Cricetulus griseus: one gene and its partner. The protein of the gene in region 1 purifies or fractionates together with the protein of each later gene. This does not show direct contact. Links are inferred from orthologs where the notes say so. Each region holds a gene or a part of one and is shown on either strand. Other genes may lie near its edges. The genes, in order: testis-specific serine/threonine-protein kinase 6 and Fkbp5.

The links.
Region 2: the proteins of testis-specific serine/threonine-protein kinase 6 (region 1) and Fkbp5 purify together in Homo sapiens (affinity purification with mass spectrometry; 4 studies listed by BioGRID and IntAct, with this or other methods). This does not show direct contact. The link is inferred for Cricetulus griseus from reciprocal best matches to the Homo sapiens genes TSSK6 and FKBP5.

The regions. Positions count from the first base shown.
Region 1 is NW_023276806.1:249,072,412-249,085,280, forward strand, and holds testis-specific serine/threonine-protein kinase 6, read right to left. Parts: upstream 5,963-12,869; 5' UTR 5,490-5,962; coding exon 4,668-5,489; 3' UTR 1,812-4,667; downstream 1-1,811. Other genes in the region: Ndufa13 (NADH dehydrogenase [ubiquinone] 1 alpha subcomplex subunit 13), read left to right, coding at 5,995-6,145, 12,707-12,785. UniProt on the Homo sapiens protein: Serine/threonine-protein kinase component of the sperm flagellar doublet microtubules. May act as a regulator of sperm motility by mediating phosphorylation of sperm doublet microtubule proteins.
Region 2 is NW_023276806.1:233,517,887-233,534,323, forward strand, and holds the end of Fkbp5 (peptidyl-prolyl cis-trans isomerase FKBP5), read right to left. Parts: intron 14,503-16,437; coding exon 14,419-14,502; intron 9,957-14,418; coding exon 9,771-9,956; intron 6,673-9,770; coding exon 6,433-6,672; intron 5,614-6,432; coding exon 5,509-5,613; 3' UTR 4,097-5,508; downstream 1-4,096. UniProt on the Homo sapiens protein: Immunophilin protein with PPIase and co-chaperone activities. Component of unligated steroid receptors heterocomplexes through interaction with heat-shock protein 90 (HSP90).

The DNA of each region.
Region 1 (12,869 bases):
TCCACAGGGATGTCTTTGAAAGGGCCAGGTCTACTTTAGTTTTATTTTGTCCCTCCCACTAAGAAATTGGTTTCATGGTGAAAGGCAGAAGCAGCACTGTGTGTCAAGCCTGCCCAGAGCAGCCTACTGCTCATCTGTAGTGACTGGTTGCTGTCGGATCCCGACCAGCCCTGGCTTCCCTCGACACAATACAGTTAGGGACTTTAATTTAAACCCTTGTTCTGCAGACACACCCTCTGCAGACATGCCCCTGCCTCCTCCTAATAAAGGCTCATTTAACCCCGTGCTCACTTGTGTGCAAATCCTCCATCTCTAGGAATTATTTGGGCATATGGGAGTTCAAGTTTTGGAAAATCTTTTTGTTGTGTGAAACCCAAGTTTCTCAGTGCTTTTAGGTTTGAGTGTGTCACTTCCCTGGGTGGATTTGGGGGAATGAAAAGAAATCGACCCTTTTTGGGGGAGAGGGGGTGTTTTTACACCAATAAATGTATATGTAAATATTTCAATATATGCAAGCATTTCTTACACGAGTATTTGTGTGCCTGGTAAGTCAGTTCCTGTTATCTGCCCTTCCTGAGTGGCTGGCCTCTGCTCAGTGACATATGGACCAAGGTCTTCTGCCTCCATGAAGCAGCAACATTAGGTGGCTTCTGCTAGAAGTCATCCTAGCCAGTAGTCCTCAGTTCAAACCATTACCTGGTGCTGGATGAAGACCTCTATTAACTGTCAGGGTCTGACCAGAGGGCTCTGTTGGTGGTATACTTGTGATCTCCCTACACTTCCAGCCATCTACGTCTGGTGATTGCTCCCCATCCTGACATTGACCTGTCACCTAAGGCTTGTGTACCTCACAGGGGACAAGCTTCAGCAGAGGTCCAGGGCTGCTGGTGTGTCACTCCCAGGGGTGACACTGTGTGAGGAGGGCTGAGAGAGTGAGGGCCCTCAGTTACTAAGTGCTGCCAGCCCCTGTCCACTGCACTGGTCTGAGCAGCAGGCCCTCAGAGTGACATGACTAAGGACTGTGCCAGGAAGACCAAGTACTTAGGGTGCGGTGTCAGCCACAAAGCTGCCTCCATCCCTATCCTGATGAGCTGGGTCCTGGGCTCCTTGCAACACCCTAGAAAGATCTGCTGTCCTCTGCCTCCTGAGATTTAGGATTAATGGCTTCCACCTCCATGCCTGACTTTTAAAAAAACACTTGTGAAAAGTTAGATGTGATTGGCATGGCACTTCATGCATGAACTGGTTGCCTAGACGCTCTGGTCAGTGGGGGCACATGGACTTCACTCAGTATCTTCTTGTTGCTGGGGACAGGTTTGAAGGGGGCAGTTGCTTGAAGAAACCTCAGGGACCTTGCCCAACTCCCAAGTGTCACCTGGGTAGGTATGTGGGGGATAGTGACCCTATGAGCAGCCTCAGGACCTGACCACCCACATAGACACCTCAGGAAAACCAAAGCTTACCCCAGGTAGAGTAAGGTGACAGTGCTGGCTGTAGCAGAGAACCCAGGTGAGTATCGGCCTGAATGGTCCTGTTTGGTGTTTGGAGAAGGATGGTCCTCACCATTCCAAATCCTGTCAGCCTGAAGACCTTGGACTATTGCCAAAAAGCGGTTTCTAAATTTTCAGTGTAACAGTTACACTAGTGCAGGGTATGGGATTGGGGAAGACAGCTTCTACTTGTATTTGTTGTGACTGAGTCATTGATAATGTGTTAAAGTTTACTACCAAAGGAATTATATATTCCAAGAAATGAGCTGGAATTGGTAGCCGCCTTGTATCTGGGAGTTCTGAGACACTGAAGGACAATAAAACAACCAAATGTCACTGTATTGTTTTTTAATTTCCTGGGGCCCCAGTGTTTTGTCCCAGCTTCTGGTAGCCTATCTTAAAGTGGGGAGTGGAAGGTGGGGTGCACATGCCTTTTCAACATGGCATTGATCCAGCCTATTTGATCTCAACAGGCTGGATTCCAGTGAGAATCCCAATTGACTTCTGCCCACCTGAGGCTACAGGGACCTGTCGGAGTAATTTCTTTACCAGCACCTTGTGGGGCTTCACTGTGGGCTTGGCCCACCACCGGTGTCTGATCAGCTTGAGATGCCCAGTTTCACTTTGTGATTTTAAGGCAGGATCTGCTGTAAGCTCAGGCCTGAACTGATCCTCCTGCTTCCACCTCCCAAGTGCAGGGAAGACAGGCATCCACCACTATTAGAAACATTTTACTTAAAAATTGGGGGCTGGAAAGATGGCTCAGCAGTTAAGAGCACTGGCTGCTCTTGCAGACATCCCCGGTTTAGTCCCCAGCACCCTCACAGCAGCTCACAGCCATCTGTAAGTCCAGTCTCGGGGACCTGATGCCTTCTGGCCTCCACAGGCTCTGTAAACAAATAGTGCACAAACATGCCAAAAAAAAGCATACACAAATGAAAGCAAAAAAATGGGGGGGGGCACACCTTTAATCCCAGCACTTGGGAGACAGAGGATCTCTGAGCTGTCCTGGTCTACATAGTGAGACTATTTGGAAGACAGAAGGAAAATGGGAAGCTGGGCATTTGGGTTACATGTTAAGTATCCTAGGTTGGCCATGCTTACATAGCAAAGCCATGTCTCAAAACAAATCTAGCCGGGCGTTGGTGGCACACTCCTTTAATCCCAGCACTCGGGAGGCAGAGGCAGGTGGATCTCTGTGAGTTCGAGGCCACCCTGGTCCCCAGAGCGAGTGCCAGGATAGGCTCCAAAGCTACACAGAGAAACCCTGTCTCGAACCCCCCCCCAAAAAAAAAAAAACAAAAACAAATCTGAGAGTGTGGCTCAGCAGTACAACCCATGCCTAGAATCCCCCAGAGTGGGGTTGGGGCTTGCCCTGGGGACCATCACCTGCCTAGTCTCAAGTTCTGGGTTCCATCCCCGGCATGAGAGAGGAACGATGGGAAGCAGGTGGTATGTCTAGTTCAGCTTGTGTGAACATAAGGATCCATTCTAGTGTGCTGGAATCTGGAAGACTCCATCTATGGAATCTGCTGCCCAAGCCCCAGGGATTGTGTCCTGCTCAATGCCTCAGGTACTGAGCACAAACCCGTGACCACAGAGCCTCCCTATTCACCAGAGGGTGGACTGTTTCTGCCTAGGTCTGGCATTACTAGGTCCAGACAGTACTAGAGTTTAGGTCCCCCCCTCTCTTGCAGCCTCAGTTTCCCCATCATGAGGCAGTTGAGACCCAGAATGAGGACAGAGCTAACGCTGGACCTCCAGGGTACCAGAAACCTGTGGAGAGGGGAGCAGGGGTTGAGCATAGCAAGACCCACAGCAGACAGCCCCTTAGACTACCTGGGCCTCATACAGGGGCAGGAGACGGTTGAAAATGTTTCCCAGTCACTAAACCCCAGTAAAATCACCTCCAGGGTCCCCTTTGAAGTACTGCTCTAGCTCCCCTCCATTTCCTCATTCCCCTCCTATTTCAGCCCCAGGAACTTCCCCAGGATCACTCTGTCCTGTGTTTTCTGGCCTGTGTGTGTGTGTGTGTGTGTGTGTGTGTGTGTGTGTGTGTGTGTGTGTGTGTGTGTGGTTTTTGGAGACAGGGTTTCTCTAACCCTGGCTGTCCTGGAACTCACTATGTAGACCAGGCTGGCCTCAAACTCAGAGAAATCCACCTGCCTCTGCCTTCTGAGTGCTGGGATTAAAGGCATGTGCCACACTCCTGGCATTCTGTGCCATTTTTAATGGTTTGGGCACAGCCCCCAAACAGCTTCATAGTCTCTCTCTGGATACCCCTGCCCTACCTAACATCCTTTATAACTTACAATTCTTTCCACATTTTATCTTAAGTTACTTGGCATTGCACTTGTATCCTTGTTAGGCAAGGATGGTTCAAGCCTTTTGAAGTCCCAGGACCTGATTCAAGACACGAAGAACTGGGCTTGCTGGGTCTGTTTTCTCCCTGTAAACTAGGGAGAGTTCCACCATCAGGCATCTTGATACCCGAGTACAAACCATAGTCGTCTCTGCACAATTGACACCTGTGTGGGCCTCAGTTTCCCCATCTGCCAATGCTCGGTTTTTGCGGACAGGCACTCCCTTCCTTTACGCACGCCGATCCCAATTCAAGCATCATCACAACCTGTTGACGACTACAGAACCTCCAGAAGTTTGGCCAGTTTGGGGAATTGAAAGTTCTGACGCTGGAATCTTCACATACATGGCTTTCTCTAAGGTGCTGAGACCTCACCTACCCCCTGTTCTCTAACAAGGGCCCACCGCTAACGCCACTTGCGAGGAAGAGCGAATTTATTGCAGGTTCCAAACTGGAACTTGGAGCGCACGGCTGGCCCGCACGGCTGGCCCGCAGCTTCGCCGCGCCGCGGCCACCCACCGCGCAGCAGGAGCTCATTCCGCGCAGGCGCAATGCTTCCTTCTCTTCTCTTAGCGCCCCTCCCGGGGCCTTCTCGCCAGAAATCGAGGATGCGCATGCGCCCTCCAGCAATCGGGTTGTGCAGGAGGAATCCAACAGCCGGCCTCGGCGGGCCGCCGCCGTCGGGGGAGGGGAAGGGACAGGGCGCGTGCGCAGTGGCGCGCGGCGACTTCGCGGGTTTCCCGAAGCTCGCCAGTCGCGCGTGCGCCGCCCTGGCTTAGGGCCTGGTGCGGCGGGAACAGCGAGAACCCCGGCTCCTAGCCGGAGTCCCCGGCCCGCAGCCAGCCGTTGCGCGCCACCTGGCCCGCCGAGGGCCGGGCGGACGGGCTGAACTGTAGCAGCTCGGCGATCAGGGCCTTGCATCGCTCCGACAGTTCGAGGCCGTCGGGGTAGAGCACGCCACGCTTCTGGCGCCGGGGCAGGCCCGCAATGTCCGAGTCATCGAAGGGCATGCACCCGGTGACCATGACGTAGAGCACGACGCCCAGGCTCCACACGTCGTACTTCTTGGGGTCGTAGGGGATGCCCAGGAGCACCTCCGGTGACGCGTAGGCGGCCGAGCCGCAGTAGGTGGTGCTCAGGTCCGGGTAGCCGTGCGCCTGGCGGCCGAAGCCGAAGTCCGTGAGCTTGACGCGGCGCTCGTCGGGGCTCAGCAGCACGTTCTCGCACTTGAGGTCGCGGTGCACCAGGTGGTGGTCGTGCAGGTAGCGCACGGCGCCCGCGATCTGCGAGAAGAGCTCGCGCGCCTGCGACCCCGGGATGCGCCCGTTGCGCTGCACGGCCTGCAGCAGGTCGGTGGCCGCCGCCTCCATCACGATGTACAGCTTCCCGTTGCACACCTCGATGAACTCGAAGACGTGCACGATGTGCGGGTGCCGCACGCCGCGCAGGATGGAGAGCTCTCGAGGCAGGAACTTGTTGACGAAGTCGGGAGGTGCCCGCCGACGGTCCACCACCTTGATGGCCACCGTGCCCTTATACTTCTTGGAGGTGGCCACCTTCACCTTGGAGTAGCTGCCCTCACCTATTGTGCGGCCCAGCTTGTAGCCGAGCTCGCTCAGGAGCTTGTCGCCCGACATGGTGGCGCCCGGGGCGCGGGGAGCAGGAGGCGGCTGCTGTCGGGGGGCGGCCGGACTCCGATCTCGGGCCTAACCCATGGTGCTTGGCACCCGCACCCCCGTGCCCCCATGTGCCCACTCCCGAGGCCCTGGAGCCGCGACGACTGTTATTGCCCGGGTAACAATTTCTGCCTTGTGAAGTGACCGCGGGCGTCACTTGGGCCCGGGGTGGGGGCCGCGCTGCCCGCCCCGCGCGGGCGCCGCAGGCCGCCTCGGGCTTTGTGACTCAATCGCTCGGCCGGGCCCGTTCCCCGTGAGGCGCCGGCGGGGGGACCGGTCACCCGTGGGGCGGGGCGCGGCCCGGCCGGCCCGGGGGGCGACGCTGCTCGGCGGGGTGGGCTCGGCCGGCTGCCGGGGCCCGGGATGGGTCGGACGGCGGCCCTGGTGCACATCTCGGGGCTGGCCGCCGGGGACCGGCGGGAACCTCAGAACCGTCGGAGAACGACCCACTTCCGCCACACTCAAAATGGCCGCCGAGCGTCGCCTCACTTCCGCTGGTGACCGGAAGTGGGGTGTCGCAAGTATGGCGGCGTCGAAGGTGAAGCAGGACATGCCCCCGCCAGGGGGCTACGGCCCCATCGACTACAAGCGGAACCTGCCCCGCCGGGGCCTGTCGGGTCAGTGTGCGGCGGGGGTCATGTCACACCGGGAGGGAGGGAGGGAAGGACGGAGGGAGGGAGGCCTCGCCGTCGCAGCGCCCTGAGGGACCCGGCTGCGCGTCTCCCCGGCCCCCAGGTGGCTTCCACAGTTGGAGAAGCTAAGCTGCGGGACGTTCAGAGCGAGCCGCGATTCGCAGACTTTGTTTGGTTTCAGGCCGGCCGAGGGAGGACCTGACAAGTCTGCACCTTTTTCTTTTTCTTTTTTTTTTGCAGTTAGGGCCTTACTGTGTAGCCCAGGCTAGCCTCAGAATCGTGGCCGCCCTGCCGCTGCCCCTGGGTGCTGGAATGACAGATTGACCCAAAGAGGAGGTTCCGTGTGTGTCGATGGTGCCCTGGCACAGAGCCCAGGCCACTCTGCAGCTCTCGACCCCCCACCTCCGCCTCCACTTGCCAGGCTGACAGACATGTGTGTTTTAAGTAACATTTAGAATTGTATTGTTGATTTCAGCAGGAAAAGAATGGGGAGAATATTAAGTTTCCCACCCTCGTTGCTCAGGGTTACAAAAATACCATAGTTAGGGGTTGGGGTCCAATCGGTATAGTGCCCGCCTAACATTTCAAAGTCCTGGGTCTCACTCCTAGCTCCGCATAAACAGTACCAAGTGGTGGACACCGGTCATCCTGGGCTACATGATGCTGCCTTCTGCTAAAAAAAAAAAAAAAAGAAAAGAAAAGAAAGAATTCAGGAACTTGGAGAGATGGCTTGGTGTTTAGGAGTACCTGATGTTTTTCCAGAGGACCTGAGCTTGGTAACTCCACCCTCTGCGGATTTAGATTTTAATTCATTATACTTTACTGTGCATATTTTGTAAACTATACCTCAAATAAAAAACAAAACCTTCAGGCCCTACCCAGGAGAAGCAAAGATGGGATCATCCCAAGTTCGAGGCTAGCCTAGACTATGTGAAGAGTTCAGGCCAGCCAGGACTATATTGTGAGACCCTGTTTGAAAGCAGGTGATCCCTGTGAGTTCGAGGCCAGCCTGGTTTACAGAGTGAGTTCCAGGACAGCCTCCAAAGCAATACACAGAATCCCTGGCTGGGTGGTGTTGGTGGTGGTGGTGATGGTGGTGGTGGTGGTGGTGGTGGTGGTGGTGGTGGTGGTGGTGGTGGTGGTTCAGGTGCAGCACACCTTGAATCCTAGCACTTGGGAGACAGAGGCAGACAGGTATCTTGAGTTCAAGGCCAGCTTGGGCTACAAAGTACATGCATGTCTGGTGTCTGTGCAAGCCAGAAAAGGGTGTCAGATCCCTTGGAACTGAAGTTAAAAACAGCTGTGAGCTTCCATGTAAGTGCTGCAAACTGAACTAGAGCAGCAAGTGCTTTATTTATTTCCAGAAAGGGTTTCTCTGTGTAGCCCGGCTGTCTGGAGTTTACTCTATAGTCTAGGCTGACCCAGAAATCGGTTTGCCTGTCTCCTGAGTGCTGGGATTAAAGGTGTAACCACCACATGGTCAGCAAGTACTCTTTAAAGTTTTTTTTTTTTTTAAGATTTTATTTATTTATTATGTATACAACATTCTGCTTACATGTATATTTGCACACCAGAAGAGGGCACCAGATCTCATAACGGATGTTTGTGAGCCACCATGTGGTTGCTGGGAATTGAACTCAGGACCTCTGGAAGAGCAATCAGTGCTCTTAACCTCTGAGCCATCTCTCCAGCCCCCCCCCCCCTTTTTTTTAATTAATCTTTTGTTTCATGTGTTTTGTTGTATGTCTTTGCACCTTGTTTGTGTATACCCTTGAAGCCCAATTGAGGGTGCCAGAAACCCTGGAACTGGAGGTAACAGACAACTGTGAGATACCTCATGGGTCCTGGGAACCAAACTTGGTTCCTCTGCAAGAACAGCCAGTGCTCCTAGCCCCTGAGCTGCCTCCTTTGCCCAGCTTCTCTTTTTTCTGAGGATTCTTACTCTTGCCCAGACTAGCTTTGAATGCCCTTTCTCTTTTCCTCCTGCTTCAGGCATTGGAGTGTTGGAATAATAGGTGTGTACACCGTCTCCTTCCTTCCTTCCTTCCTTCCTTCTTTCCTTCCTTCCGTTTTTCCCCAAGACAGGGTTCCTCTGTACATTCCTGGCTGTCCTGGAACTAGTTCTGTAAACCAGGCTGACCTTAGATTCAGAGATCGCCTGCCTCTGCCTCCCAAGTGCTGGGATTAAAGGCGTTCGCCACCAACACCAGGCCCAGCTCTATATTTTAATAATTGTTTTGTGTATGCATGTGTATGGGGAGGTCAGTTTTCTTCTTCTTTCTTCGTGGGGGTTCCAGGAATGGGGCTCAGATCACGGGGTTTCTTCAGCAAGCGCGTTTACCAGCTGAGCCACTTGGCAGCTCCTCTGTTTCATCTCTTTCTGAGCTGTAACACACCCAAGCCTGTGCCCCACTCAGGCCTGCACCATGCTGACTGCATAGCATTTGCCCATAGGCACCTAGACTAAGCTGGGGGGTTCCTCAGGCCTACAAGCTTTACTTCCTTACTTTTAATCTTTATGTGTCCTGCATTTTATTTACTTAAAGGCAAGGTCTCATGTAGCTCTTGAATTCTCTCTGTAGCTTAGTGTGACCCTGCACTGAACCTGCTCCCACCTCCTGAGTGCTGGCATGACAGGTGTGTGTTACTAAGCTTGGTTTCTGTGGTGCTGGCTGTGGAGCCCAGGGTTTGTGCCTGCTAGGTAGGCACTCTACCCACTGAACCACCTGCCCAGCGCTTCCTTCTGTTTGGAAATCACATGCGGTTTTCCCCTTTAGATCCTGACACAGCTGTGCTGGCCTTATTGCTCTGCGCCTTTTTTTGTTTGTTTTGTTTTTAAGATTTATTTATTTAGAGAAAGGGTTTCACTGTGTAGCCTTTGCTGGCCTGAAGCTCTCTCTGTAGACCAGACTGGCTTCAAACTCAGAGAGATCCACCTGCCTCTGCCTCCCAAGTGCTGGGATTGAAGGTGTGCACCACCACCACCCAGAGTATGTGATTTTTATTATTGATGACTTGAGTTTGGGGTACTGTGACATTTTCAGATACTCTGCAGATATTTCCCTTCCCAGTGGCCTGCTCAGCTAATAGTGTCATTTACACAAATAGTTTCTCTTACTTAAGGAAGTCCTGTTTGTATTCTTCTAAAGTAGATTTATATATTCACTGTTTTTTGGAGGAGGTGGGGGGAGCACCATGCTGTGCACATCTTTCTTTGAACCAGGGTCTCACTGCAGAGCCCTGGCTGGCCTGGAACTTGCTGCAAACCAGGGAAGCTGCAAACAGTGACCCTCCCACTCCACCTCCTGGGCACCGGCGTTATAAGAATGCATCAGGGCACTTGGGCTCTTCTTTTCTTTTCTTTTCTTTTCTTTTCTTTTCTTTTCTTTTCTTCTCTTTTCTTTTGTTTTCTTTTGTTTTTTCAAGACAGAGTTTTTCTGTAGCCCTGGCTGGCCTAGAATTCACTGTGTGAAACAGGCTGGCCTCAAACTCAGAGATTCACCTGCCTCTGCCTTCTGAATGCTGGAGTTAAAGGTGCGGGCCCTTCCTTCCTTCCTTCCTTCCTTCCTTCCTTCCTTCCTTCTTTCCTTCCTTCCTTTTAAATTTATCTATTTTTTTTCTTTTTGATACAGGGTCTCATATGTTATCCTCACTGGCCTAGAACTCTATGTAGACAAGATTGGCCTCTAACTCCAGAGATCCACCTGCCTTAAGGCTTTTGATATCACTTCTAGCCGTGTGTGTGTGTGTGTGTGTGTGTGTGTGTGTGTGTGTGTGTGTGTGTGTCTGTGTGTCTGTGTGTGTGTGTGTGTGTGTAATGGGTTCTCATATAGCTTTGGCTGCCCTATGTAGCCATGGATGACTTTGAACCCTTGATTATCCTGCCTCTGCTTCTTGAGTGGTGGGATCACAGACATGCGCCTCCACTCCTGGATGATGCTGTTAGGGATCAGGAGTCAGCATGTTAGGCTGGCAAGCATTCTACCTATTAAGCTCAGCCCTGGCCGGGCGTTGGTGGTGCACGCCTTTGATCCCAGCACTCGGGAGGCGGAGGCAGAGGCAGGCGGATCTCTGTGAGTTTGAGATCAGCCTGGTCTCCAGAGGGAGTGCCAGGACAGCCTCCAAAGCTACACAGAGAAACCCTGTCTCGAAAAACCTAAATAAATAAATAAATAAATAAATAGCTCAGCCCTGGACATCTCTAGCTCTTACTTTCCGGTCTCCATCCACTGGGAGTTGAGTTCCTTCTCCAGGTGAGCAGGGGCACTGTGCATCTCTGTGTGGCCAGTGGTCCAGTGCTGAGAAGTCTCCTCAACCCCATTAAATTATTGTGGTATCTTTGTCCAAAGCTAATTGGCCATAAACTTTGAGGGTTTATTTTCGGATCGTGGATGTCCGGTTCTGTCCTGCTGGCAAGCGTGTCTTTGTGCACAGCTGCCTGATGAGTTTGAAGCTGTCACATTTCCTGAAAGCAGCATTACTGCCCTGGGTACTTCCATATGAATCTCATGACCTGACTGTGGGTTTCTGCAGAGGAGAAAGGATCAAGGCTGTGATGGTGATTGTGTTGAGTCTGCACACAGTTGGGGAAGAACTGCCACTCACTCACACGTTTATTGATTCAGGAAAGAATGGCACAGGGTGGCAATGCCTCCTACAGCTTCAGCTACTGGGTGGGGGGTGGCTGGAGGGGAAGGTGTGTGTGGGCTCTACTCTCGCCCATGGCACCTCCTGAATATAGGCTGCCTCAGTGTTAATTGTGCCCACACTTGAGGACCAGAGCCCCCCACAAGGGCCTGTTTGGTCTGAGAAATTACTAGGAGCAGCTCTGGTCAGATTCTGGGACTGAGTCTGAAGATGAGGCCCCTAGGGCCCTCTTAGCTGTTGGAAATGAGGGTGCAGCATTTGTACAGGTGCTTTCCCATTTGGGTGAGGGCTGACTAACCCTGCAGTCAGCCTGCCAGAGATGGCCTCGAACACCAAAGGCTTCCCCTGCTTTCCATTACTGGAGGGCCTGGCCTCTGAGCATGAGCCTTAAAGTCCGAGCTGAGTAGGTGGAAATATTTAGCTCCTGACCTAGCTGAGGGTCCAGTCAGGCTGCACCCCAGAACCCATTCTTCCCCCTGTGGCCCAGCCTTCTCCATACCCTCTCTAGTCATTGGTAGATAATCCCTGGAGCTTGTCCTGCCAGTCAGGATTGGAGTTGCCCCTGCTGGTCTTCAGTAATTATTTATAGTGGTCCCTGTCTCCCCTGGGTGTAAGGCAGGTGGCCTACCCTGCTGGACTGGTGGCGCCTACACCACCCCTGGAGTCAGGAGCAGGCTGTGCAACCCCGGGGGCACTTCCAGCCTCTGGTGGTGCTGCTCAGAGCCATGCTTTCTGGTGGGGACCAGGCATCTGTCCTTTTGTTGTTGTCACCCCGACACACACACACACAAGACAAGGTTTCTTTGTGTAGCCCTGGCTGTCTTGGACCTATGTAGACCACGCAGGCTTCCACCTCACAGGGATCTGTCTGCCTCTACCATGAGTGCTGGGATTAAAGGCGTGGGCCACCACACCTGGCACCTTTGTCTTTCTAGTCCAGTGGTTCTTAACCTTCCTAATGCTGCGACCCTTTAATACAGTTCCTCACAGTATGGTGGTGGCGCTAGCCTTAATACCAACACTTGGGAAGTAGACGCAGGTGGGTTTCTGTGAGTTTCAGGACAGCCTGATGTACAGAGTGAGCTCCAAGACAGCAGGGTATATAGAGAAACCCTATCTTGAAAAACAAAAATAACAATTAAAAAATACAGTTCCTCAGGCTGGGGAGATGGCTCAGGGGTTAAGAACACTGGCTGATCTTCCCAAGGTCCTGAGTTCAATTCCCAGCAACCACATGGTGGCTCACAACCATCTGTAATGAGATCTGGTGCCCTTTTCACTGTATATGATAAGTAAATAAATCTTTTATTTTTTAAAGGAAGATCTTTAAAAAAAAAATAGTTCCGCCAGGCATTGGTGGCGCACGCCTTTAATCCCAGCACTTGGGAGGCAGAGGCAGGTGGATCTCTGTGAGTTCGAGGCCAGCCTGGTCTCTAGAGTGAGTGCCAGGATAGGCTCCAAAGCTACACAGAGAAACCCTGTCTTGAAAAACAACAACAAAAATACAGTTCCTCATGTTGCGATGACTCCAACCTATAGAATCATTTTCATTGCTACTTCATAACTAATTTTGCTACTATTATGAAATATAATGTAAATATCTGATATGTGGCCCCTGTGAAAAGGTAGTTTGAACCCCAAAGGGTCGTGACCTACTGGTTGAGAAGTTCTGCTCTAGACCATAGGGCTCTCCTGTGCCCTTGCTGCCTGTACCTTCCAGAAAGTGTGGCAGCCTGGACTGACACAAAGCAGGACTGTCAGTGACTGTTCTGGGGAAGTGGCTGGGAAGGGACAGGCCACCTGTGGAGGAGAGTCAGCAGACACTTCACAGAGACCCAGTGTTGCTGGGTGGGGTCCTGAGGGACCATGCTGAGAAGGAGGGCCTCACTTCTCTTGCAGGCTACAGCATGTTTGCTGTGGGCATCGGGACCTTGTTTTTTGGCTACTGGAGAATGATGAAGTGGAACCGTGAGCGCAGGTAGGGAGGGCCCTTTTCAGCACCGGGTTCTGTGAGGGCAAAAGTCCTGGCTGGCTGTCCTACCCCTCACTTCCTGTCCTAAAA
Region 2 (16,437 bases), about 16 Mb from region 1:
TCTCTGCCTGCTCTTGGGACCCTTTCCCTCCTATTGGGTTGCCTCATCCAGCTTTGCCATGGGGGTTTGTGCCTGGCCTCACTGCATCCTGCTATGCCGTGTTTGGTTGATATCCCTGGGAGACCTGCTTTTTTCTGAAGCAATGGATCTGGGGCAGGGGGTGTGGTACTGGAACAGTGGAGGGAGGGGATGCTGTGGTCGGTTGGGATGTATTGTATGAAAGAATAATAAATGAAAACAAAACTAAAAGCCAATCCAGACTCCACGGTGTGGGAACCTGATAGATAAAATAGCTGGTGAGTCATGAGGTCAGCCCCACCCTGCCCCTAAATACTAATGATTACCTATTTGATCTTATCTCTCTTCTTGGTCAGGAGCTCTAGAGATAACCTGAAGCTGAGTCATGGTGTCCCAAGGCAAGAGTTACCTTATAAAAACACATTATCCCAAAGGCCTAGAGACTAGGTATACCCCGTCATCTGAGACACACGGGGGCTCCTAGCCCGCAGGTCTGGGTGGCTAGGCTCACACCACCTCCGGGATCTCACAAGGTGAGTCCCTTGAAGCCGCCACATCTTCCTACATCTAGCGTGTTTCCAGAACCCCATTCCAATCTGTGGCTTGGGGTCGCTTTCCCATTACTGTTCTCTACATCTGAGCCCATGGACCCCTGGTGTGTGTGTGTGGGGTGTGTGTGTGTGTGCAGTGTAGAGCCTTGCCTTGGGCTCACCCTCAGTGAACAGCAGCATTCCAATATGCAGACCTGGCTGCTCCAGATGAGGGAATAACAGAATCTTTCGCAAACTAACCAGATTGCTGGATGGGTGTGTGTACGGGTGTCCAGAAGCACCACATCCAAGCCCCATTTCATCCAGAGTGGCTTCAGGGAGGAGGTGCCCTCAGGGGCGTCCACCTGGCTGCATTCCCAGCCCAGCAGATGACCCACTTCTCTTCTGACAGGAGGACCACAGCTCGGCCTAGAAAAGGCTATTTTGGAACTGGGTCAGGGCATCAGGTGACTTTATAACCACAGGGCCACTGTACATGCGCTAGGATTCCCTCCCCTTTCCTGATTCTCGAGGCTCTTGGCCCTATTAGACAAAGAACCTGTGAATCACAGCCATCTCAAGCCGTCACACCATGGGTCGTGCTTATCAAGGTATTAGGAGCCACAGGGGTTGCCCCTTCTCTTCTCCTTCCCCCATAGGCTCCATGCATCCTAGGCTGGCCTCAATTTACAATGACAATGTCGGATCATTTTTAACTTTTGCAATAGGATCTCTCTACATAGACCCGACTGTCCTGGAACTCACAGAGATCTGCCTGCCTCTCCTCTGAGTTTAAGGGTGTGTGCCACCATGACCAGCAACGTTGGATCCTTGACCTGGTTCCTAGCCCAGAGCTGGCATGAACAGATGGGCACTACCACACCCAGTTTTATGTGGTGCTGTGACTGCATGTTCATCTGCAGGCCAAAAGAGGGCATCAGATTCCATAATAAATAGTTGTGAGCCACCACTTGGGTGCTGGGAATTGAACTCAGGACCTCTGGAAGAGCAGCCAGTGCTCTTAAACGCTGAGCCATCTCTCCAGCCCCCAAATCTCATTTCTTCAGGTGGGCTCCATCAGAGCTTTTCCTTTATTTTGCTTTTATTTGTGACAGAGTTTCTCTGTGTTACAGTCCTGGTTGTTCTGGAACTCGCTTTGTAGACCAGGTTGGTCTTGAACTCACTGAGATCTGCCTGCCTCTGCCTCCCAAGTGCTGGGATTAAAGGCGGCGCCACCACAGGGCCCATCAGTTTTTCAACCCAGTTTTTCTGCATCCAAGGACAGACCAACCTATGGTGGTTTAAGCGATAATGGTCCCCAGCTGGTAGAACTGTTTAGAAAGGATTAGAAGGTGTGGTCTTGTTAGAGGAGGTGTGTTAGCAGGGGTGATCTCTGAGGTTTCAAAACACTAATGCCATTCCTGGTTAGCACCCTCTGCCTGGTACTGACTGATCAAGATATTAAGCTCTCAGCTATTTCTGCCACTTTGAACTTGTGCTGCCACCATGGGCTTTTTTTTGGGGGGGGGTTAAAATAAATCTTTTCGCCAAATGCCACCCGAGCCCTACAGCCACGTGGGCTCTTTCTGCCAGCTGCCCGAGTTCTGCCCACCGAGTTAGGGCCCCAAATAATACACAGAGACTTATATTAGGTACAAATGCTGCATGGCCAATGACTAGGATTTCCCATCTGTTAGCACAGTCTTAATTGTCATAAATCTATATATTTTATAAGACTTATCTAGGATGCCTCATACTGGGATCACATAGTGACTCTGGAGGAAGAGAGAAGGGGCTCACTTCCTTCTTGCCCTTGTTTATATGAGTCTCCCTACCATGTCACTTCCTGAGTGGATCACCACTTCTTTACTACATTTCCCAGAATCCTCCTTGACTCCTAGTCCCGCCTAACTTGCTGCCTCATTGGCCAAACAGTACTTTATTTATCATCTAGTAAGACAAACACATACACAGAAGCACTTCCCCCATCAGGGGGGCTTTGAGAACAGGGTTTCTCTGTGTAGCCCTGGCTGTCCTGGAACTAGCTCTGTAGACCAGGCTGGTCTCGAACTTAGAGATCCACCTGCATCTGCCTCCCGAGTGTTGGGATTAAAGGTGTCCTCCTTGCCCCCCCACACTCCCAATTTACTCAGGAAATCTTGTCTTTTCCCCTTCCTAGGCAGATCCATGTCTGTCTTTCTTGGAGTCCTCTTTGTTACCTAGGTTCTCTGGGGTTGCAGTGTAGACTCTTGAGTCTCTAAAACTGAAAGCCCCAAATAATCCCTTTCTTATATAGTTGCCTTGGTCATGGTTATCTTGTCCCAGCGATAGACAGTGACTAACACAAGGTCCAATATGTTGAGGTTCTGAGATTCAGTGGAGATCTATTGTCTACAGAACGATGGCTGTAGACCAAAACATTTTTCTTTTTAGGCTATTTATCAGGGCTGGAGAGATGGTTGAGAAGTTAAGAGCACTGGCAGCTCTTGCAGAGGTCTTGGGTTCAGTTCCTAGCACCTGCATGGTGGCTCACAGCCATCTATAACTTTGGTTCCAGGGCATCTGATGCCCTCTTCTATCTTCCTTGGCCACTACCTGCACATGGTGTATGTGTGCGTAGTGAACACACAGGTTCGGCAGGTAAAGAGTATTTACTGATCTGCAGAGGACTTAGGTTCAGGTCTCAGGACCCACATGAAATTCACAACTCCCTGTAACTCCACTTCTAGGGGATCCAAAGTCCTCTTCTGGTCTCCAAGGTCACCTAGATACACATACACTCAAACACACACAGATAAAGTAAGGAAAATTTAAAAATCAAAAAACAACGTAAGAACAATGAAAAACCACTTTTTAAAAAATTTATTTAAGGAACACAAAATGCATCTAAATGATTTTTTTTTTTTTGTATTGTTTTGAGACAGGGTCTCACTATATAGGCCTGGCTGTTGTGGAACTCACTGTGTAGACCAGGTTGGCCTAGAACTAGCTCTTGTAGACCAGGCTGGTCTGGAACTCACAGAGATCCACCTGCCTCTGCCTCCTGAGTGCTGGAATTAAAGGAAATACACCCACTACCTCCAGCTTCTAAATGATTTTTTAAAAACCAAAATTTAAGTGTATCATCTGGTCACCCATCATTCTACCCAGTCTAAAGGTGCTTTGAAGACATCTTCTGATTTCCATATGAATTATTTGAAATTATTGAATACAATAACGCATCAAGCCTAGTGGTGCTGGGTACCTCGCCACTTTTGGCTGGAAACCTTGCACACCTTCTCCTGGCACCAGTCTCCTTGGCCCATGGTGCACACTTGGGAGACAGCTGGTGAAGGTCACCCAATTTTCTGAAAAAGAGGTCTCCTGTAAAAAGCCAATGGGCTAACTTGCTAGGCTCAAGTCTTAGCTATGTCCTGTTTCTGCGCTGCAGTCAACAGAACTACAGACATCAGAGTTAGATAAGAACAGTCAGCTCCTGCTCTTTGTGCTTCCTAGGCGAGATCAGGGCTGAAAACATTATTCATGAAAAGAGGCAGAAGTGGAAAGTGTGAAATCTAAGAGGTTTTAGTCACCAGTAAACGAAATTCCTCAAAGCTGAACTCCATCCGTTGCATGTAGAATAAAACTGGAACAGCTTGAAAACAACTTGATTTGTAGGTTTTAAAGTCCTAACTTAACAATGAGACTGTTTTATTAAAACAAACATAAAAACAAACTCATCTAAATGCAACCACCAGTATCCCTAGGGCTACAAGAGTGAGGTTTCCAGGGTTCATAGGCTGTGGAGAAGCAAGTAGCACTCAATCCTGTACACTTCCCGCAGGACTAAAATCCAACTACATGGCTACTTAAGGCTTGCCCTGATCCCATGCCCAGACCTGGAGACTCTGGCTTGATGGACCTGCATGGGAAGCCAGCAACCTTTATAGGACACCAGAACGAAGAGGCTGGGGTACAGAGGGACAGCATCTGCCCATCAAACCTCCAGGTACCCTCACTCTAAGAGGAACTGCCTGCTTCAAACCTCACAGATTTTGCCTTTCAAAACCAAAGCTAAAAAGTAAAAAGTGAAAAATGTTTTTGCATGGTAGAGGAGTGTGAAGTTTCTTCCATAAAGCGCTATATATGCTTACAAACAATTAAAAAAAAAAAAAAAAAAAGAGTAGCTGCGTCAATCTTAGTTGGATGTGGACGTTAGTCCACTCCAGGTCTAGGACAAGAGCAAGCCTCAGTTCTTCACAGCGAGTCAGGGAAAGGAAACAGGAGGCTGAGCAGCAGCACTGAGAGCTAACATACTTTAAAGCGGGGGACAGCGGGAAACAAGCCACTCAATGAGTTCACTCTAATTAGGGAAAGCTAACCCGGAAACTCCCACCTACCACCACCTGATGAGGGTGTTGGAGTAATAACAGACTCTCTGGGTGTGACGGAAAGTTACACTCACAAGAGTCTGAGAAGGGAACCTGGGAAGCCGCTGGACAGGCAGGCAAGTGACCTCTGAGACTCTGCTGTGGACCTGGGGACCCCTCATTTTGGGCTTGTGTTCTCAGCACTGGAGTCAGATCTTCCACCCCTGCCCTGCCTCCCAACAGGAAAGCAGAGATGGTTCCTGCGGGGCTACTGAAGCGCAGATGGAGAGCCCTGAGGCAGCCGGGGCCTTGGGACCATCAAGGGATGCTGTGTAGGACACTGAAATGAGCTGGACTTGAGCTGCTGGCTTGGTCTCTGCACACCAATGGGCTTTTCTGTTCTGTTCCCCGGCGTGTCCCCCTACCCCCACCCCCACCCCTGGGCAGCAGCAGGGTGGTTATTTTGGGAAGCTATTGGTTTTGCCATTTGCTTCCAGAATCCCAGAGACTGTAACAAACCTTACACTAGACACTGTTCAGTCCTGAGTTGGGTGTGAGCCCAGCAAGGAGGGCCGAGTTCATTAGGACTCTCTTCCCTCCTTGGCGTGGCGTCATACATGGCCTTCAGCCTTTCCTTCTTCCATGGCCTGCCTCTCGGATCTTTTACAGGCCTCTCCTTCTACAGTCTTCTTGCTCATTGCTTTGCTGGCTGCTTCCTGGGGGTTAAAGGAGGAGGTGAAATTAGCCTCTGTCCTCCTAAGATGGTTTAATCCAGTCTACAATAAATGTGTCTGCTAGTATTTGGGACGCACAGTTGGTAAGTGGGGGTGGTGGCATGCAACAGAAGAGCTTGCTATCTGAGGTGGCTGTTGAATCATTAAGGCTTGTGGTGGTGGAAGCTGGGGCTCAGGGACAGACTTGGGAGCAGAGAATGTCTGTAGGGCAAGAAGCTGACCTGTCTTCAGGTACACCTACTGCCAGCTTGGCATTCAAACAGATGGCAGTGTACAGTAAAGAGCACTGTGTGGGGCTGCAGTGACACCCGTTTCCAAGCCAAGCTGGATATCTTACCCAGGAAGTATTACTTGGGAAAAAAAAATACTGATAGCTGTCCTGGAACACACACTGTAGACTAGGTTGGCCTCCAACTCACAGGGATCCATTTGCCTTTGCCTCCCAAGTGCTAGGATTAAAGGCACGCTGAATTTATTAATATTTTAAATAACAAGCTAACTTGGTTTGGTGACAGATGCCTGAAATCCCTGAACTCCTGAGGCAGAGGCAGGAGGATCTCTGAGATGAAGCTAGCCTGGTCTACAGTCTTCTATGTCTCAGGAGTTAGCCTCCCCACCTCTTTGTGGACAAGCAGGGCCTCAGCTGGAGCCCTACCAAACCTGTGCATCCTCAGCAGCCTCTGGCCACACCCAAGTCTCTTCCTTAGCCTTGTTTCTCTTAGGCTGGCAACCCAGCCTTGTCCCCTCCGCTGGGTTAGCTCAGCTCCTCATCTGCCTGGGGTCGGGGCTGCGCACGCGCACCTTTGCATCCCGCTCCGCGAACTTGGTGAACATATTGGCGTACACCCTGCGGTCTCGCTCATTGTGCTCCTTGGCTTTCTTCTGGCACATGGAGATCTGCAGTCTCGCGGCCTTATTCTGAGGGTTAACCGCCAACACTTTCTCAAAGTCACCTTTGGCGGACTCAAACTCGTTCATAAGCAGCTGGGCTTCACCCCTTCTGTACAAGCCTTTCTCATTGGCGCTGTCCAGTCCGAGGGCCTAGAACAGAGAGACGCCCACAGTTTAGGAGGGATGGCTGTAAGTCTTCTCACTTGAGGGCAGTGAAGAAGAGCTTCAGGAAATAGTGTGCAGTTCAAGGGTGACAGGTGAGAGATGCAATTACACCCCAAAGAAGCATGCGTGTGTACAGGGATGACAAGATAATCAAGTGTTTTAATAGAAAATGCCTCCCCAAAGTGCATGTGTTGAAGCCGGATCCCTAGATGGTGTTGGGAGGTCTGACTGGCCCTGAGGACCCTTTATCAGTGAGACTGTACTGAACAGGGTTGTAAGGGATTAGAGCATTGGTTCCCAACCAGGGGATCACCGCCCCCCCCTGCAGGGGTCACATATCGGCTATCCTGAATATCAGATATTTACAATTCATAACTGTAGCAAAGTTATGAAATAGCAATGAAATATTTTTACGACTGGTGGTTACCACAACATGAGGAACTGTATTAAAGGGTTGTAGCATTGGGAAGGTTGAGAACCACTGGACTGACTAGAGGAAGGTCAAAGGGGTGTGAAGTTTTTGTTTTGTTTTGTTTCGTTTTGAGACAGGGTCTCACTATGTAGCTCTGGCTGTCCTGGAACTCAGTATATAGACCAGGCTGGCCTCAGATTCATGGAGCTCCACCTGGCCTTGCTTCCTGAATGCTGGGATTAAAGGTGTGCTTTTGAAAGGTACGCCTTGTCCCTGGGTCTCTGTGTCCTGGCTTCTATAAAAGCAAGCGACTCTTCTCTGCCATGCCCTTCTGCTTCCATTTCTGCCCACAGCAATACTGTCAGCCAGACATGGACTGAACCCTTTGAACTAAGTGTCAGACAAAGAGCCCTACCCTAACTCATATGTATGTTCATGCATATGCAGGCCAGATGTCAGTCTTCAGGAACTGAGAATGCTGATAGGCTAGGGTGGCTGGCCAGTGAGCCCTGGAGATCTGCTCCACCAACACTGGGATAACAAGCATGGGTGGTCTGGAATTATTATGATTTTTTTTGGTACATGTATTTTGCCTGCATGTATGTATGTATGTATGTATGAGCACTGACTCTACACCAGTGGAAGGCAGAACAGGGTATTAGGATCCCCTGGAACTGGAGTTACAGAGAGCTGTGAGCCACCATGTGAGTGCTGGTAATGGGGCCTGGGTCCTCTGGAAGAGCAGCAGGTGCCTTAGCCACTGAGCCACTCTCTAGCCCCCATGCACAGCTTTTATGCGGGTGCCAAGGATCAAACTCAGGGCCTCACGCTTGTGTGACAGGCACTTTACCCACCTAAAACTTTAAGTGCTCCTATCTCTGGCACTTGTAGGAATTTATCCTGTGCAAACACCCCAAAAACATGCGACGAGAAACACTGAATGCATCACATTCTCTTCTAACTTTTAAAATTACTCTGAACCTTCTAATAACAAAAGCAAACTCTGAAGATCTTGCAGTGAGGACGAATTAAAGTAAAACCACCACACCTTCACACATCTGATCTTACAACGAGTCTTTTAATCCTAACCCTGATGAGGGAGAGCAGTGAGTGCAGTCATCCGACAGGGAAGGGAATTATGTCCAGATCTTTCTCTAGTCAGCTTTAAGTTCATTTTTTTGTATGTATTATGCATAAGTGTATGGATGTACATTCATCTGTGTACGTACACACACACACACACACACACACACACACACACAGAGGCCAAAGGACAAGTATCTTCTTCTATTACTTTCTCCCTTACTCCTTTTGAGGCAAGGTCTCTCCCTGAACCCGGAGCTCACAACTTTGAGGGACGCCAGCAGTTAACACACCTTCCTGATCCTCCTATTTCCCATCTACTGGGTGTTCCCTTCCTGTGGGTTAGGCCAGGCTTACTACTGCGTTGGATCCTCAGGACCTGGACGGTGGAAGAACTCCTCAAGTTGCCCATATGTGCACCATGGCGTCTACACAGCACCTATCTGCACATAATGAATGTTTACAGAATGGAGCAGGAGGGCTGGGGAAGAATAAGGCCTGTGACCCAAGCTCCAGGGATCAGATCTCTCTCCTGGCCCCCAGGAGCACCTGTGTGCACACAAGCACATTCCCACACACAGATAGCATGCATGTACAAATATTTAAAAAACGTAAAGTGTATCTTTAAAAAAATGGCTTTGAGAGACAAAGCTGATGGAAATTCTATGGCTGGAATTTCTTGTATGCTTGAATTCTGAGCAGCTTTGTAACATCTCTGTATTTAAAAAAAAGCACAAAATTGTCAGGCGGTGGTGGTACACAACTTTAGTCCCAGCACCCGGAGACAGAGGCAGGTGGATCTCTGAGTTGGCAGCCAGTGTGGTTTACAGAGTGAGTTCCAGGACAGCCAGGGCTGTTACACAGAGAAACCCTGTGTAATGAAAAACAAACAAACAAAAAGCTTTCTTTCATAAGAGTTGTCTTGGCCATGGTGTCTCTTCATGGCAACAGGACAGTTATAACTGTTATAACTGTCTTCAGGCCCACCTGTAAGATACACTCACTCAATGGTAGTTTTTACTTATGCTGTAACATATACTGTTCCATATTAACTAGAATAGAAAACTGTCAAGGCGGTACTCACGGCAAACCGCTGCCACTCGTAGCAATGGATCAGAGCACAAATGCAAAACTGTGAGGGCTGCTGAGATGCTCCACCGCCCCTTAAATTACATTTGTGTTTTCAGTGGCTGAAGACCTAAGAAACTCAGACTAAATTTGCTCCATTAAACAGGAACCCAAGGGCTGGGGATATGGCTTAGTGGTAGAGTATTTGTCCAGTGTGCACAAGGCACAATCCCCAGCAGGGCAAACAAAACAAACAAAACAAAACAAAAAGTGGAACTCCCAGAGTTCTTTCTCTACTATGATGCTCAAAACCAGTGTAAGACCACAGGTGAAAACTGTCATCAATTCTATGAAAAATTATATGTAAAATGCTAGATAGAAATAGTCCATGTCTAGCCCAATCCTCTGGGTGTCCCAGCTCATGCCGAGCATAGAGGACACTGCCTGAGGGCAACAGAAGCTCCCCAGGGACAGAGGGTGGGGTGCGGACCACCCAAGTGCACATCACGGGGCCACCCACCTTGTCGCAGCACTCCACAGCTTTGGTGTACTCTCTGAGCTTCAGGTAGCACATGGCCAGGTTTAGGAAGGCCGCCAGCAGGAAGGATTCAGAGGCTTTTGACTCCTTGTCTGATAGGCCGTACTCCATCTCCAGCCAGGACACAATCTTCCCGTACTGAATCACAGCCTGCATGTACTTGCCTCCCTGGGAGAAAAAGGCCAGTGATGACTCGTATTGTGCTCAGGAAAGGATGTAACACAGCGCGAGCATGGCCTGCCTTGGCTGGGTCCTCACATGGAACAGGCTTGCATGACAACCCGCTCTGTGTCCTTGAATTATACGGCCTCAGCTCCCCTGTGGAAGCTCTGCTGGTCTGTGAGGTAGCCTGTGTGTGTAGCAGGCTGACACACGGCATGCTGTTTCTTGGCATTATTCCAGCCTGGCAGCAGGTGGTTACACCATTTGAAGCCAATATTCAACAGTCTTTCAAAGGATGGCAAGCCGTATGGCTTATGGAAGGCGGGGGTGACTTTTCTCTCTTCTCCTGGCATTCAGCATTGCATAGTAAATACTGCAATATGGTAACGTAGTCACCAGACAGCAAGCCTGGGCTCTCTGAAGCAGACTGCAAGTCCTCGGCTCTCATGAGTAGTGTGAGAGTAGCACCAGCCAACACAGGCAAAGCTGCAGCAGCATGGCTGCGTCCTGGTGGTGTCTGTGCACCGGTGTGGCTGCATCCTGGCTTCATTGTACTTCTAAGAGTAAGCAGTGGGCCAGAGTACAGCATACAGCTTATACTGTGTACAGTATAAGCAAGCTTGAACAGCAAAATCAATGTGTGAGAAAGCTGGTCTACTCTTATTTGCCCTATTCCACCCCCTCTGCAGTACTAAGGACTGAACCCAGGGCCGCATGTATACTATAAGCACTGTACCCATTATACCGCCAAACCCTCATTTTTATTTCAGACAGATAGGACCTTGCTAAGTTGTCAAGGCCGGCCTAAAACTTGTGGTCCTCCTGCCTCAGTTTCCAGAGCAGTGGTTCTCAATTTTCCTAATGCTGTGACCTGCTAGGGGTCAACCAACAGGTGAGACCCGCTGTTCCAGAGTAAGTGGAATCACAGACATGGGCCAGCACACCCCCTGGCCCTGCTTACTAATGTGTACGCTACTGAATGAATAAGAAACTGCGGTGGAGACCACGTGCTCACTGCTGTAATAACGCAACTTCATGTTGTGGAGTGGCCGTTGGGAATCAGGTTAGGACTCTTCTCTGCAGCAGGCAAGTACAAGCCTGAGTACAGAGGACACGTTCTATCAGATGGCAGAGGGCAGCACACTGCAGGATACGAAACCCAATGTTTACACACTGCACACTGCTGAGACCGGCAGGAGGACTGCCTGTACTCATAGCAGTGAGTCCTGGCCCCCAGGCACAACCAGCCAGCCTCAGACACACTTCCTTCTCATGGAGCACTAGGGGGCGCAAGACACCTGCACACAGCAGGGAGTCCCCAGCCTTCACAGGCCACCTATGCTTAACAATGACTTGCAGAACTAGACGAGGTTAGTCATTTCCTGCTTCTCTTCTCATGAGTGTTCAGAGGTTGAAAGGAAGTTTCAACACCAGTCTAAATAGCACAACTCAGTCCTGCTTTGCCCACAGCTGTTAACCAAGCTTGCAGGTCAATAAAATGTGCAGATGTTTTGAAATACAGGTCAGCAGTGCGGCCCATCTCTGCAGTCACCCACACTTCTGCATGCTGGGTGCGGCACATGTCAAGTCAGACACCCTGGGAAGATGGACTGCTGAGAGCAGCAGGCAGGCAGGCAGGCAGGCAGGCAGGCAGAACGAAAGCTGTCCTGAGCATTGAAAAGGGAACTCGTACAGGAGGCAGCCTACCAACACTTCCAAAACCCACAGCTCCAGCTAGCATCACCACTGTGACCTTCACCTATAATTAGGAAGGGTGCCTCTAGGACGTCAATGGTACAAAATGTCCAGAGACGGTCTGGGGTAAGTCTTAGGTCACTGGTTTTGAACCTTTCATTAATTTTCCCCTAACAGAAAGATCTTGTCTATCAAATTACATGTTAAGAATAATATGTTCCATATGTGTGACTGATGATCCAGATTTTATCCAGATTGGTAATTTTAGGAAGATTCAAAACATGTTGAAATATACGTATCATCACTGTAATGCTCCCAAGAAACACCAGTAAGGGATCTGAATCACATGAAAACCAAAGGTCGAATTTTCCAGATTTCCCAACTGAGAGCTCATATCTGTCTGTATTCTGATTCATACTTTATTCTTTTTTATTTTAGCAACTGTTAGAATAAACAAATGGATGTATATTATTAAAATCTCTAGATTTCGCCCACAGTGAAGACGTGCTTTAAAATGACTGCCCACAGGGCTGGAGAGATGGCTCAGAGGTTAAGAGCACTGACTGCTCTTCCAGAGGTCCTGAGTTCAATTCCCAGCAACCACACGGTGGCTCACAACCATCTATAACGAGATCTGGTGCCCTCTTCTGTGTGCAGATAGACATGGAAGCAGAATGTTGTATACATAATAAATAAATAAAATCTTTTAAAAAAGTACTTTAAAAAATGACTACCTAGTATCACTTACAATAAACAAAACTCATCCACACCATATGCAGTGCACAATCACTGAGATGGTCCCATGACCCAACACTGGTCTCAAATGGAGAACAGATGAACTGCCTCCCGCTAAACAAAAAGCCCAGTGGTCTTTACTGTCTCTGCCAGTTATCCCACTTGGTTCCCACCTGCAGATAAGGTGGTAGAGGCGGCAGTGCCATGTGACAGAAAGGGGCCCATGAAGACCTGACTCAGACCTGTGCTTCACAGAGTCATGAAAACAAACCACCAAAAAACAAAAAAAACCAAACAAACAAAAAAGAATCTTCTTTAACAAGTAAATAAACCAATGGATAGCTCTTTCTCTCCCTCCACACCCCCTTTCTCAAGACTGCAGTTACAAGAAAAAAAATCCAAGAACACGTGTGTGTGTGTGTGTGTGTGTGTGTGTGTGTGTGTGTGTGTGTGTGTGAGAGAGAGAGAGAGAGAGGGGGGGGGTGTGTGTGTCTCACTATGTAGCCCCGATTGGTTGGAATTTGCTATGCAGACCTGTCCTTGAACTCACAGAGATCCATTTGTCTCTGCTTCTGGAGCGCTGGGATTAAAGACGTGTACCACCACAGCTGGCTGCAGGCTTCAACCTCTTTACTACAAGGCAGGGAACTGAATCAGCTGCTTCCAACAGCATCACCTAGCCCAGGAGAACACATCCATTTTTGAATTCTCAACACTAAGTCTTCACTTGGTGTGCAGAGATACACATTTGGGAGTGGGCTGGCAACAAGCTGTATGGCACTCTGAAATCTCCTTTCTTGCACCTGGGATTAGAATCTATGGGATAAAGCACTGGCTCCTAGGTCCCACGGAGAGGGCTCTGGGGAAGCAGCTGTCATGTAGGGCAGCTGTAAGTAGTATCACCATGGCCAGTGCAAGGTTCAGTGCCCTCTCCCCACCAGGTTCTTAAATGCGCTGTGCTGAGCATCCCTGGATGCTGAGTCATCCATGCCAGTCTCCAGAGTTTTCCTGGTACCCAGCCAGCACCATTAGTGGCATCTTTATTTTGTTGTTCAGTTACAGCAGCAGTGATGTATTTCTAGATAAAACTTATCAAACAAGGTGGGCAGTGGTGGTAGACTCCTTGAATCCCAGCACCTTGGAGGCAGAGGCAGGTGGATCTCATGAGTTCCAGGACAGCCTCGTCTGCAGAGCAAGTTCCAGGACAGCCAGGGCTACACAGAGAAATCCTGTCTTAAACGACAACAACAATCCCCCAAACTTATCAAATATTAAAGATCTATTTTGAGGATACTGGCTGTGAAAACTGCTGTTCCAATTTAGAGTGCAAAGGTAATTCATATTTCTTATTTTTTATTAAAGATTTATTTATTACGTATACAGGATTCTGCCTCCATGTATGCCTGCAGGCCAGAAGAGGGCACCAGATTCCATTATACATGGCTGTGAGCCGCCATGTGGTTGTGGGAGTTGAACTCAGGACCTCTGGAAGAGCAGTTAGTTAGTGCTCTTACTGTTGAGCCATCTCTCCAGCCCCAGTAATTCCTATTTCAAGTGGAAACCATAATGAGAACAACCAGGGCCTTCTTGGGTTGTGCTTACATGAAAACAAGTGCAGTGCAGTAATGCAGGGGGAGGGGGTCACCCAGCGTGGTTTGAAGACTCTGCATGTTGTTTCCTGTCACAGGTCCTAGTGAACTTGAGGAGTGGGAGGAAGCGTGGAGCCCACTCCTGTGAACTCTGACTATCACAACCTCTCTCCATCCTTTCTCTTCACACCCACTGCACACTAACGATGGACCAACCGGGATGCACCATCAGGCCTTGAGTGGTACGGATGCAGGTGAGCAGGCCAGGTGAGGTCTGCTCATGGCATAAAGGTGAGGTGCCTGAGTTACTGCCTTCACACTAGCGCGCTCTTCTCACAGATCCTTACACTGAGGACAGCAGGAAAGCGTGGAAACTGAGGGTTACCAGCACGGCACATGGACACTGAGCAACAGTGGGGCAGGGACAGGGTTTACAGGGACTCACACACCTTGAAGTACACCGTTCCCTTCTCTTTGACAATGGCAGCCTGCTCCAGTTTTTCTTTGGTGTCCATCTCCCAGGATTCTTTGGCCTGTGTACAGATTTGTGGCATTAGTTAGATGAGCAGGAGGACACACACCACTTGATGCCTACAGATCAAACACCAGCTACTTCTAGAAGATACCCAAACTCAAGACACCGGCAGGCGGCTGGGTGGTGGTAGCGCACGCCTTTAATCCCAGCACTCGGGAGGCAGAGGCAGGTGGATCTGTGTGAGTTTGAGTCCAGCCTGGTCTACAAGAGCTAGTTCCAGGACAGCCTCTAAAGCCACAGAGAAACCCTGTCTCGAAAAACAAGACACTGGCAGGCAGCACCGTGTGCTGCTGCGGAGCCACCACCGGGCCAGTGGTCTAGGTGCCACTTTAAGAACATGAGCCGTGGTTCCCAAGCTGTGGTCTGACCAAGCAAAGCTGTCCAAGGAGAATGGGCAAAGCACAGCAAGAGCATCAGAGCCGAGCCGAGCCGAGCGCTCTGAAGGACTGCACTGTAGAACGACAAAGCTGGCCTCCCGAGGCCTCCTCACTTCTGCTTCTGCCAAGTCTGTTTTCCAGCTCTCAATCAGGATCATTACTTATGGTCCAGGCCAAGCTGTACATGCACAGAGAACTTTTTAAATTCCAGGTCAGGCATTGTCTCATCACTCACGACCAGATGGATTATAGTCTCTACCAGTATCAGCTTGCAGGTGTGCACTTGGGCAATGTCTTTTCTTTTTTTTCCAGGCTGGCCTCCACCTTACAATGTAGACAAGGATGACCTTGAACTTGTGACCCTCCTGCCAACACCTCCCAAGCGCTGGGATTACACCTCAATGATGCCTTTCCTTGGGGGCTTTTCAGCAAAATATGACTAGGAAAACGGGAGCTCATGTGGAAACATCACTGCAGAGCTGAGCATAAATGACTCCACCCTCACCTGGGGCAGCTTGTATCATGTGCACCCTATTCTCCACAACTGTCCATGCAGGTCTAGAAGCAACAGCTCTGGGGCTGTCATTCAGTGAGACAGTGCTTGTTCTGTGTACTTGAGTCCATGGGTTTAAAAAAAAAGAAAGATCCATATAACTGCTGGAGTTAAGATCACAGAGTCCAGTAGAATAACCAAAGTCTTTCAGGAAATGCAATAGGAGTGATTGGCTCTATTTAGTACATATGGATTAGAAAGTTCAAGTGGAGGGCTGGAGATGGCTCAGCAGCTAAGAGCACTGGCTGCTCTTCCAGAGGACCTGAGTTCAATTCCCAGCACCTACAAGGCAGCTCACAACTGTCTGTACCTCCAGCTCCAGGAGAGCTGACCCTCTCTCATGGACACACAGGCAGAAGAGACACTAATGCACAGAAAATAAAAATAAATCTCAAATACAAGAAAGGAAGAAAGAAAGTTAATTCAAGTGGAGTCAGGTGAGCAATGGTGGCACACGCCTTTAATCCCAGCACTTGGGAGGCAGAGGTAGGAGGATCTCTATGAGTTTGAGGCCAGCCTGGTCTATAGAGCGAGTTCCAGGACAGCCAATAAATACATATTATACCATGTGAACAACAAATATTGCTAGTGTATGAACCTGTGTAAAGACCACAGGTCAATTTAGGTGTCTTTCTCTATCACTCCCCACCTATTTAAAAAAACAAAACTACTTTTACTTATTTTTTCAACATATATTTCCTTTGTCTCCTTCCTTCTCCCTAGATTTATTTATCATGTATACAGTGTTCTGTCTTCATGTATCCATTACAGGAGGTTGCTGGGAATTGAACTGAGGACCTTTGGAAGAGCAGCCAATGTTCTCAACCTCGGAGCCATCTCTCCAGCCCTTTGTCTCTTTTCTAAAACTACACTGATTTTATTTATTATTACGTGTGTGTGTGTGTGTGTGGGGGGGGGGTGTCAGAGGACAACCCTGCAGAGTCAGTTCTCTCCTGCGTGGGTTTTAGAGACAAACTCAGGTTGTTGGGTTTTGTGGCTTTTA